Schizosaccharomyces pombe: one gene and its partners. The gene in region 2 interacts genetically with the main gene of each other region. Each region holds a gene or a part of one and is shown on either strand. Other genes may lie near its edges. The genes, in order: ctt1, ecl2 and hsf1.

Region 1 (3,757 bases), on a different chromosome or scaffold from region 2:
GTTATGTGCTTATTGAGGTTAAAATATATATTTCCTAATTAACATTTATCAAATTAAATAAATTTCTAACGGCATTACACATGTCTCGCATTCAAAGAATAAAATAGTAGTCATCCGATAAACCTAGCTGACTCAAATTTTTTACAAACTAATTTCGCATAAGCGCATTATGAGCTTCCTTGGAACATATGGGGTTCGCCCTTGTTAATTGGCTTGGGGGCTTTTTCTTCCATCTTCTTCACTTCAGCTTCAGTAGCCTCACGAATACGGCGACCAAGCTCTGAATCAACACGAGTAAATACACCGTATTGGCGTTCACGTACAGGAGATATAGCACCAGACAAGTGACCGGCAACGTTCTTAACAAAGTTATCTTGCTGTCCAGGTTTCTTGCCCAAAACATTTTGCCAAAACGCTCTAGGTTGCTCAAAATCAACGTCGGTAATTTCGTCCATATGGTAAGTAACTTGACCTACCCACTTTTCGTGACCTTCGTCAGGCTCATATTGAACTTTAGCAAGTGGTCGGATTGAGGATGGATAGTTTGGCCAATTTCCTTGGTTTCCATTGACATTCATAGGGCCGTCACGAGAATAGTTAAAGACAGGACACTTAGGAGAATTGACGGGAATTTGCTCGAAATTAGCACCCAAACGATGGCGGTGGGTATCAGGATAGGAAAATGTACGTACTTGCAAAACAGGATCCGCTGAGACTTCAATACCAGGAACCATATGAGAAGGAGAGAACCCAGCCTGCTCGATATCTGCAAAGAAATTGGTAGGATTCTGATTCAAGGTAAAGCGTCCAACCCTTTGCATTGGTACGTCCTTATGAGGCCAGACCTTAGTAAGATCGAAAATGTTGTAGCGATATTTTTCAGCCTCCTGAGGGGTCATAACTTGAACGTAAAGCGTCCAACTGGGGTAATCACCACGTTCAATAGCTTCGAAAAGATCTTGACGAGCATGGTCGGGATTGGATCCATCCAATGCAGCGGCTTCTTCATTTGTTAAACCCTTGGTTCCTTGATTAGTAATGAAATGCCATTTGCAATAGTAGAATTCACCCTTATCATTAACAAATTTGTAGGTATGACTGGAAAAGCCATCCATGAAACGGTAGCTATAAGGGGTACCACCCAAGTCAGAGAAAAGAATCATAACTTGATGGATGGACTCTGCGTTTTGAGAAAGGTAATCCCAAAACATAGTAGCATCCTTCATATCATTTTGAGGGTTACGCTTCTGAGTATGGATGAAGAGAGGGAATTTAGCGGGATCACGAAGGAAGAAGACAGGGGTATTGTTTCCAACCATATCGAAAATACCTTCATCGGTGTAGAACTTTAATGCGAACCCACGAGGATCACGAGCAGTATCAGGAGTACCCCTTTCACCACCGACGGTGGAGAAACGAGCAACCATAGGGGTTTTCTTACCAACCTTAGAAAACATGGTATGTTTGGTATACTTGGTAATGTCGTCGGTGCATTCGAATTCACCAAAAGCACCGGAACCCTTTGCATGGACGACACGTTCAGGAATACGCTCGCGATCAAAGTGTTGAAAGACGTCGATTAAATGGGAATCTTGAAGTAAGACAGGACCTCCCTTACCCACACGAGCCGCAGCCATAGGGTTAAAAATGGGACAACCGGTGTTGGTGGTGTAAACAGGGACGGTATTTGAGTCTTTCGAGTTCATTTCGCTGATGTTTGAATCCTTAGACTGAGAAGATGCAAATCTGTTAAAGAGTAGCTTATTATTGTTAATCTTGGAATTAGTTGAACGACGAGCAAATGATTTTAAACTAGCTTGTCTACCAAGACAGTAACGTTCAAAGATGCGAAAAGCCGACACTTTGAAGAGTTAGGAGGGGAAAAAAAAAGACAGTCAAAAAATTGTGTTTTTTTAAAAAATTAGTGTCGAGTCTTTAACTAAATCACTCAAGACACAACCACAATTTCTATAATTCGATATTCGAACAAGGGAATTACAATCACACACACACAAAGAAGAACTTATAGTATTCTTCTATTCAAAAGCTATTACTTTTACGTGAAAAGCTGTATATTCAAGCAACTTGCAATTGCCTCTATATATATTGTCTGGTGTAGAATTACCAACGTCATATTTGCACAATAGGAAAACTCTTACCAACGCAAATGGCCGAGATTCCATTGGCTTAGTGAGCCAAAGAGCATCATTATTAGCGAAGCTACAATGACAAATTAACTTCTTCTACAGCCTATCGTAGTCGCCAAAATCCACCCTTCAGCCAATGTTTACGATGCGCTCATACCGTTACTTGGCCATATCAAATCTCCCAACACCATCGCTAACGTAAGCGGGCAAATCCCATCGTTAGCGATTAGTAAAACCAGCGTTTCTAGACACAGACGCTGACATGAAATTCTACTGCAAGTCGATATAGAGGAGAAAGATGCTTAATAAAATTAAAAGCTAGACTTTTCAGTCGCAAACTTGTGCTGGACATGCACCCTTTGGAACCAGTGTTTTTGGTAGATTAGCAGAGTATAGTGTGTTTCCTGGGGAAGTAAATAAAACAGATGTATGGTAAAATAGGATATGCAAGCATGTAGATTTTGGCCTGTATTCATGCGGTTTGTTTAGCTTGAAGAATTGATTTCACAAAAGTATGGTTTAATTTCAAATGATGTCGGGTTGATGTGCTAAGATCGGGAAATGGGTGAGTGAGAAAAGGAAGTTATGGTAATTTTATGATCGATTAGTTTGGAAACGTGTTTTATGGGCGCATTGTATATTTCTTAAATTATAAATTTTTTCTATTCTATATTAACTGAACTGAGAAAGTGGATTCATTGTGCACAGCTTCCCGTAGAGGTATAATGTGCACAAATCGGAAGTATGACTAGGAGAGTGAAATAGATAAGGAGGTTACTGAAATTAGAATACTTTCGTCCAATATACTTAGGAGTGCAAGTCTAAGGTCGAAGAAAGGCTGGAAGTGAAACAAGTCCCTTGCTTACAAAAAAAAAAAAATGGGAGATGCAAACAATCTAAGGACCGACAAACCGTAGGTATGGACGGCGTGTAAAGGCAATCCGTAGGAATGTGTGAAATAGAATATGATACGTTTAATAAAAGTCCTTCTTTTCCTCTACATCACAAATTTCAAGCAAAACGAAGTAATAATAATAAGGAATTTTTTCTTTCGTTGGTCTGACTAATTTTTTAGGTTCGATATAAACACTACGATTTCCATGCATGTTTTAATTCAGCGGATGAAGATATAACCCATACGTTGTTGTTTCCCATCGCTCACTCTACATTCGCTTAAATAAACTACTACCATTTGACTCGTCAAACAAAGATTGAAGGTGGTATTCACAAGCTTGTTTTATGTTGAATTCAATTTTTAGTTGGTAAAAGTACTTTAAGCATAAATGCCATTAACTGCTGTTCATGAAAGAGGGGACGTTATAGGTGGCAGAATTAAATTTCACTATATAGAGAACTATAGTGTTTTTTGGTCATCATCAGTAAGTGCAGAAACAGCATCAACTTAGTAAACAAAATAGTTACTTAGATTTCGCTTTATTCTTTATTTCCCTCTCCAAGACTTCACAAAGTCCTCGAAAATTCACGATGCTGATAGCTTCAGCTTTTCAGCACCATTTTTTCTTACTTGAGGGCGAGTTGATTAAATTCATCCTCTGCAAATCCTTCTTCTTTTATCTTTTCTCTCTAGAACGTTTGAAAAATTAGTTACA
Region 2 (3,757 bases):
CATGTGGGATGGGTACGTGAAAATGTGGGATAGATGTACCTATGTGGGATGTTTTGCATACCTACAGAGGAAGCACAGGTGGGATCGGATCCAGTAGCTACTACAGTTGGTGATTGTTACTGTTGGCAGAGTGTTGCATCCTAGCTCTTTGCTGAGGAGTTATTGCTTCGTGGCAAACTACAGAGTAACACGTGCTAGATCCCGCGAACGTTAGATTCAAAGATCCCAAACACTTACAACAAGGTTACATGAGTATAAGTAAATGGTACGTGAATTCTACGTTACCGGTCGAGGCAGAAAGTTGCTTCCGACCGTCTTCAGAATCAAGTCATTCCATGGAATTGTAAGACAATGTGTGAAACAACAACGAGATTTCACTTCTTTTTTAGCTAGTTCTCCCGCTATGGGTGTCGCACAAGGACAACAGGTAAAATTAATTTTGATGCTACTCATTGAGACATGGGAAACAAAACATCAATCATGCCACAGTCATTTCATTTTATTAGAATTCACTCATCTTTTTGTACGCAAGTTTTCGCAAATATTTTTCGAGTTCCGGTTGTTTGCTCACCTACTATCATAAATACAATGTATAATCAATAAACGATTCGCACTTTGTCGTTAGAAATCGAAAAAAAATAAATAAATAAATAAATAGATATATAAAAGTAAAACCATTCTCTAATAGTGAAATATATTTATATCTCTATCATGTGTAAATTTTGTTTTATTATTTTTTCTCTTTTTATTTTTACTTCTCTAGTTCTCTATTATTGAATTCCATTTATTTTATTCTATTTTATTATAATTTAAACTAATTTCTTTTTTTTCTCATTCATTCCCAACCGTCAGTTTAATTTTTCATCCCTGCCCTGCACATCTTTATACATGCTATATTTCGACCCCACCTATCGCCTTAAATCTCTCGTTGAAAAAAAGTCATCATCACCATGGTTCTCCATTTTGCTCCGCTACTGACTGCATCGGTGCCTCTTTTTACAGTCCAAAGATGTGCGATCAGCATCATGTTGTTGTGAGCTGGCGTACAACTGTCTTCTCACATGTATTTTTGGGGTTTAAAGGCGGAGAATATGATGCGAAAGGTCGCTTAAAGTGAGTAGAAGAGTATTCGAGAATTAAAATGAAAAAATAAAAAATGTAGTGTGTTTTTACTATTGTATATGACACCCCGGCTGAGCTAGCGTTTGTGTGTGCATTTAGTATGCGAGTTAGTACACACAGTGTTTTTCTCGGTTTCCCACTTCCGACTCAAATCCCCCACATCAGTCGTTCTGCTTTCTTCTCTTGTGTGTTGTAATCAAATTATGAAGAGGTAACATTGTACGCAACTCACGCAATGTATTAGCATATGCAGTCGGTCGGATGTGCATTATGAGATCAAACACAGTGTATGCTGTTTTCTTAACGTATTTTACCGATAGTATGGTATCTCAGGTCAGATCATCTGGACAGATTGCGTGCGCAGTTTTCAGATGTATATATAGAGCGCAGCAGTCCGACTGAGAGGTCGTAGAAGATTAACATATAGATCAGCAAAGGGTTTTTGACTTATACTCGCTGTTCTTGATTGCTTGAACTAAACGAACTGTCCTTCTTAAGTGTCTCTTGTTTTCCTCGACAAACAGTTTCGCTGTGTGATTGAGTAGAACTCACTTTTCCTCGTTTTCTCCATCCTAACCTCTTTTCGTCTTGTTGAATCACCCGCAGGACTCATCTCTTCCTTGAAATTGAGAAGGATTTGTTTTATTTTATTGTGAAGCTAAGTTCTTTTCTTTCTTCTTCCTCTACTAAATCGGAAATATCTTCCAAACGTCCCGTATATTTCGACTTTGAAATTTCTTTTTAGTCCGCTTTATACGCTCATCCGTTTTATCTGGTTTTCTTCAATAGGATCCAATACTAGCTCGCCTCAGCTTGGCTCATTCATTGGTTTTTCCTCGTTAACAAGTCATTTTAATTTTCTTTTTCTAATTTCTTCATCCTTTTGTATTCGTTAGAGACATGGATTTGGATTATTGCATAATTTGCGGAAAACCCACTACTGGCAACTTGTATTGCTCTCGTGAATGTCATCTGCAGGATTGCCCCGGCTGTGGTTCGACTTCGGAGCAGTGTTCTTACTCTAAGTCGGCTGATCTTCATATGTTATCTTCCCAATATTTAGATCATTTCCGAAGAAGGTCTTCCATGCCTTCCCCATCCACTTCGTCTTCTCTTTTGAACGGTTTTGTCGCTTCCAGACTTGCTGTTCTTTAATTTTACCTTACATTGCATTATTCCAACGACGGTGTCGTTGATATACACACATTCATTGCCAACGGCTCAAAAAAATTATATTTCATTTCTCTCTATCTCGGTTTTTTTTTTCATTTTCTCCTGTTTAATCTGGGAAAATTTATTTACTTATTTCTTTATCTTCCGGTTCCATTTTATTTTTTATTTCTCATGGGTACTTATATTTAATTGTGCCTTTTTTTAAACCTATTTTTATTTTATAATTCTTATAACTTGAAGTTTTTTTTTTCAAATTATTATGATACTTAAAAATTTTTATGCCTTTCTTAAATGATGATCACTACACTAACCGTGTGTGAATAGTTGATCATTGATTTTTGCGGTTCATACCGTGTATGTTTCTTAAATTGATAGCCAAGCATCCTTACATACTATCTTAAATTTCCAAATGATGTTGGTGCGTATATTTTGTTTATGCACTTCATTATTTCATGAGTTGTACAACTTAATTCGTTCACGCAATGTTGATGGTATGTTTCCATTACAATGTTTGTTTGGCTTCATTGGGGTTTTTTATGATTTTCTATGATAACGATATTGTATGAGTGGATTTGGTACTCGGACTTTTTCGTCAATTCGTAATGGCATTTTTTATTTCTTTCGAAATACGATGGATATTTTTTACGATTCTTTTATTCTTATGATATGGACTTTTGTTTCGGTGTGTCACGCAACTATTCTTACTTCTTTTCTGCAATCGCATTTTATTTGCACTGTCTAACTGTATTCGAGATTTGTCATTCGTGCTTTTTACATTATGCTCTGGCATCTGGGACAACTTTATGCTGAGTTCTTCTGAGCGCGTATTTTTAAAATACATAGAAGCTCTAGGCTTTCCCTCACTTCATCATTTCTTTTGCATATCAACATTTTGCATTGTCCCATTGGTTTTGAAGCTTTAGAGTTATTTATGTGTGTCGTGCTTTAAGTTCTCAGTTTTTGGCTCATCGTTTACGTGGGATTTTTGCATTAGACAATTTTTAGAGGTTGCGTATCAAACTATTTTATACCCAAGCACTTTGTTTTCTACGAATCGATACGGACATTTAACTGGCATCAGTACTTTAAAAAACGATAAAATATTTATTTTGATGAAATTTATATTGTTATGATAAAAAAAAAGCATAAAAATTGAAAACGCTTTTAAAAATATTCAATTTTATTAAAGTGCTTTGGTTGCTAGAAGAAAAAATAAAATTAAAAAATTAACGTATATCTACTGTGGTTGACATGTAAACGAATTATTTTGTGCGCAAAGGTAATACATAAATACTGGCTGAATAATAAAAGCGCTTTGTACAGCAGTATTAGGTTGAAAGGTTGTTTTACTTTTCTAGTTAAGTGTTCATCTTTATTCAAATGGATCTATTTGGGATGCCAACTAGAGGGCAGGAATTAGCAAAAATAAATTTAATAGTAAGTGCCCACACCAGGAATCGAA
Region 3 (3,757 bases), on a different chromosome or scaffold from region 2:
TAGGTCGGTGGGAGGAAAATATTGCTCGGGTTGACAGATTGACTGAAATAGACAAAACTAAGAATGCTAAAAAATCGGAACCGTTTATCAAACGAAGTACACGTAAAGTGATGAGCAACTTTACAGCTGGTGATATAGTTCGTTCCGAAGAAGAGTTTTTGGAGATTTTAGCAAAGCTCGAGCAGCAAGAAAAAGAAGCAAGCAATGTATCTGAGGCCTCTCGAATTGCTACTATTCCTCCTATGATACTTTCAGAAGAAGAAGTGAAAAGTCAATACTTTAATGATCAGAGCCGGTTAGTAACAGATTGTCCTAAATTCTATCACTTTCAAAGTATGCCTGACATATGGAATGAAGAACAGCATTCCATTTTCGTTCAGCAATTTATTTTACATGGAAAAAAATTTGGTAAAATCGCAGAGGCAGTGCCAGGAAAAAACTCTAAAGAATGTGTATTACATTATTATCTGACAAAAAGGACAACTGACTATCGAGCTTTGGTAGCATCTGCAACAAAAACTAAGGGTCGTCGGCGAAAAAAGCTCCTTCCTTCTCAAAGAGGTGGAAAGAAAAAGTCCAAGGGTTCTGCTCTTATGGTTGATATTGAAGCTGCGGATATTAATAAAACGGAAGAGAATATCAATAATCAATTTCAAGAAGCTTCCGTCACTGCTGATAATATGAATACTTGGGATAATACGCCCTCTGTTGAAAATGTTGAATCTGCGAATGAGAATGTTAATAATCACAATGCTGATGAACAAATGGATGAAAAAATAAAGTCTTTGGTTGAAGGGAATAGTGCTTATGAAATTGAAAAAGGAGCTCAAGAGCCTGACCCTATGTCTATTGATATGACCGATAAGAGCGAGACTGTGTCTGGTTTCAAACATGATGTTGACGTTTATGATACAGCTGAAAATGAAGGGAATAACACATTACTGCAAATCAAAGAATCCGTTCATGAGAAAACGCCGACACAGGACGAGCCTATGGATATTAGCCAGGATACCATAAAGCAGGAGGATTACTATGAACCAAAGCTTGAACAACATTCTTCTTCCAAGCGTAACAGTATTTCAACTAGGAAGGAGGAGGATGCAGCTTCGGCTCTAGCGAACCTGTCTGCCGTTGGTCGTTCCATATCCGCCGTTGATGAGTCTGCTCACCAAGGGCACTTGCCTGGTTGGGATGAAAAAGAAGAAGCGTTAATATTTTCGTTGGCCCAAGGTATGAATCCAATGAAAATGCCTCTTACTCCAAGAAGAGCCTCCACTGGTCCTCGGCCACGCCCTACTTTCCAATTGACCGAAATTGATTCTCCAAATCGCCGTCGAGCTAGTGATTGCATTACACCGTCAATATCAAAGATACTGAAAATGGTGTCTGAAGATGCAAAAAGTCAACGCATAGACGAGTTATCAGTCGAGGATCAAGAGCATACAACACATTCATCTCATACGACATCAGACATAAACGCATTTCCGAATAGTCAATCATTTCCACGAGCATCAATTCATACATTAGCAGCATTGGGCGAAGACATTGTTGAACGCCAGTCCAAAAACGATAAAATTGTATGAGTTGTGACGTTTAGTGTTATTTAATGGCGTTATTTACCATTTGTTGTTATATGAAGGGGTTTTGTTTTCTAATTCGCAAATTGGTACCTCCTTACGTGATGCCTTACTCGACTTATCTCGAATTCTACTTTAATCCTTTTTTTTTTTTCTTTTGTATATATTTTCTATTACTTTTAATGTGAGAGTTCTATATGTGTCGGGTTATGATGGTGAGTTTTTATTAAAAAAGTAAAAACTCTATAATAACTTGACTGCCGATCGTTTACGAAATCTATCAAGAGACGAATTTTTTCAATCAATAAATCTTCATGTGAAATCTAGTTATTAGTCTCGGCGACGGAAACGCTTAATTAGTAGCGTTAGTAAGTTAATCTGTAATTGACACATAACAATTTATTCGATTTAATAATTTTTTGCATTTTTTGTTGCATGCAAAACCGACACCAAAAATAAATACCGAGTGGCTAAATGACCTCACTAAACAAATTAGCGATATACCCCGGTGAATGATATATGGTGTATTGTAATCATTCGGTAGTGGATTATTGCAAAATATAACTTGACATCAACCAACGACACCCGCTTCAAATTTCGGTGAGAGCTTGTTAAAGCTACTGAGAAAGTATACATTATTTAAGAATATCTTGATTGAACCTTGTGAAATACGAACTGCATATTCTTCCCTGGTGGTTGAGAAGAAGGTACTGAGAATTCCTTTAAATCAGTAACGGACATATATATTTTTGTTAAATTAACGGCACCCATAATAAATTGATTTTTAATGATTCAGACTGCATCGACAATTTCAAGCAATGGCGGAACGAATCAGGGAATGGAGTCCAGCAGCGCAAATTCACCGGAGATGAATGGGACACAAAATTCGATGTCCGTAGGGATGTCGGGCTCAGGTTCTTCACAAAATAGGAAAATCACACAGTTTAGTAATAAACTGTACAATATGGTGAACGACTCGTCGACAGATTCCTTAATTCGATGGAGCGACCGGGGTGATTCGTTTTTGGTTATAGGGCATGAAGATTTTGCTAAGCTGGTTCTTCCACGGTATTTCAAGCACAATAATTTTTCTAGTTTTGTTCGGCAATTAAACAGTAAGTGTCTTTAAAAAGTGAAGGTGTAACAAAAAGTCGAAGACAAGCTTTTACACAATTAATTTTTTTTATTATGAATGTGTCCCCCTACTTGTCTGCATTTATTCGAAGATATATCGGGCTTTGGAAAACTTTTGGATCAGTAAGCTTAACAACGACTATCTCTTTCGATTGTTCTTCCGTTCCACTTTTCGACGATATGAAAAATATTGCAATACTTCGGAATTATTGATTATTTATCTAATTAGTCTTTGTCAAGCCCTTTTCTATCTTTTCTTGTCCTTCGCATCTCATTTTATTACATTCATTTTTTTTTTTTTTTGGTTTACTAACTTTTTACAGTGTACGGCTTTCATAAAGTCCCTCATATACAGCAAGGTGTTTTACAATCCGATAGTCCCAACGAGCTTCTCGAGTTTGCAAATCCAAACTTTCAACGTGACCAACCTGAATTACTATGCCTAGTAACGCGAAAAAAGGCCGGTAGCCAACCCGTTGAAGAATCAAATACCAGTTTAGACATGTCTACGATATCCTCTGAGCTACAGAATATTCGCATCCAGCAGATGAATTTGTCGAACGAACTCAGTAGGATCCAAGTCGATAACGCAGCTCTTTGGCAGGAAAATATGGAAAATCGCGAGAGACAACGTCGCCATCAAGAGACGATTGATAAGATCCTTCGTTTTCTTGCCAGTGTATATTTGGATGGTAAACAGAAGCCACCTAGCAAAGTTATGCCCAAAAGTCGTCGGCTCTTATTAGAAGCTAAATATCCTACGGTTTCACCTACGAATGAACCGTCTGCGCATTCAAGGCCTTCACCTCAAGGTACTACTGCTAATTCTAGTAGTGCTAGTATCTCCTCTTTACACAATACGACTCCTGATGGAGAGGGCAAATACAGATCCGTTCAAAATGGACGAGCTTTAAATTATGTTTCTTCTTTTAATTCGGATTCGCATTCACCGAAGGATTATATTTCTCAAAGCTATACGAATGAGCCAGGACTTAAAAAGGAATCTGCCGATTCCTTTAACAATTCGATTGACTCATACATTTCTC

Evidence for each region.
Region 1: of ecl2 (region 2) and ctt1, changing one suppresses a phenotype caused by changing the other (phenotypic suppression), as found in Schizosaccharomyces pombe (one study listed by BioGRID).
Region 3: of ecl2 (region 2) and hsf1, changing one suppresses a phenotype caused by changing the other (phenotypic suppression), as found in Schizosaccharomyces pombe (one study listed by BioGRID).

The regions. Positions count from the first base shown.
Region 1 is NC_003421.2:56,760-60,516, forward strand, and holds the start of ctt1 (catalase), read right to left. Parts: upstream 2,075-3,757; 5' UTR 1,707-2,074; coding exon 168-1,706; 3' UTR 1-167. Other genes in the region: cytochrome c oxidase assembly protein Cox14, read right to left, coding at 3,669-3,731. UniProt on the Schizosaccharomyces pombe protein: Catalyzes the degradation of hydrogen peroxide (H(2)O(2)) generated by peroxisomal oxidases to water and oxygen, thereby protecting cells from the toxic effects of hydrogen peroxide.
Region 2 is NC_003423.3:960,781-964,537, reverse strand, and holds ecl2 (protein Ecl2), read left to right. Parts: upstream 1-2,022; coding exon 2,023-2,277; 3' UTR 2,278-3,531; downstream 3,532-3,757. Other genes in the region: SPOM_SPBP35G2.17 (uncharacterized protein), read left to right, coding at 263-583.
Region 3 is NC_003424.3:5,057,111-5,060,867, forward strand, and holds the start of hsf1 (DNA-binding transcription factor Hsf1), read left to right. Parts: upstream 1-2,144; 5' UTR 2,145-2,364; coding exon 2,365-2,692; exon of another isoform or gene 2,693-2,703; intron 2,704-2,848; exon of another isoform or gene 2,849-3,034; coding exon 3,035-3,757. Other genes in the region: Set3 complex SANT/Myb domain subunit Snt1, read left to right, coding at 1-1,583. UniProt on the Schizosaccharomyces pombe protein: DNA-binding protein that specifically binds heat shock promoter elements (HSE) and activates transcription. Also required for growth at normal temperatures.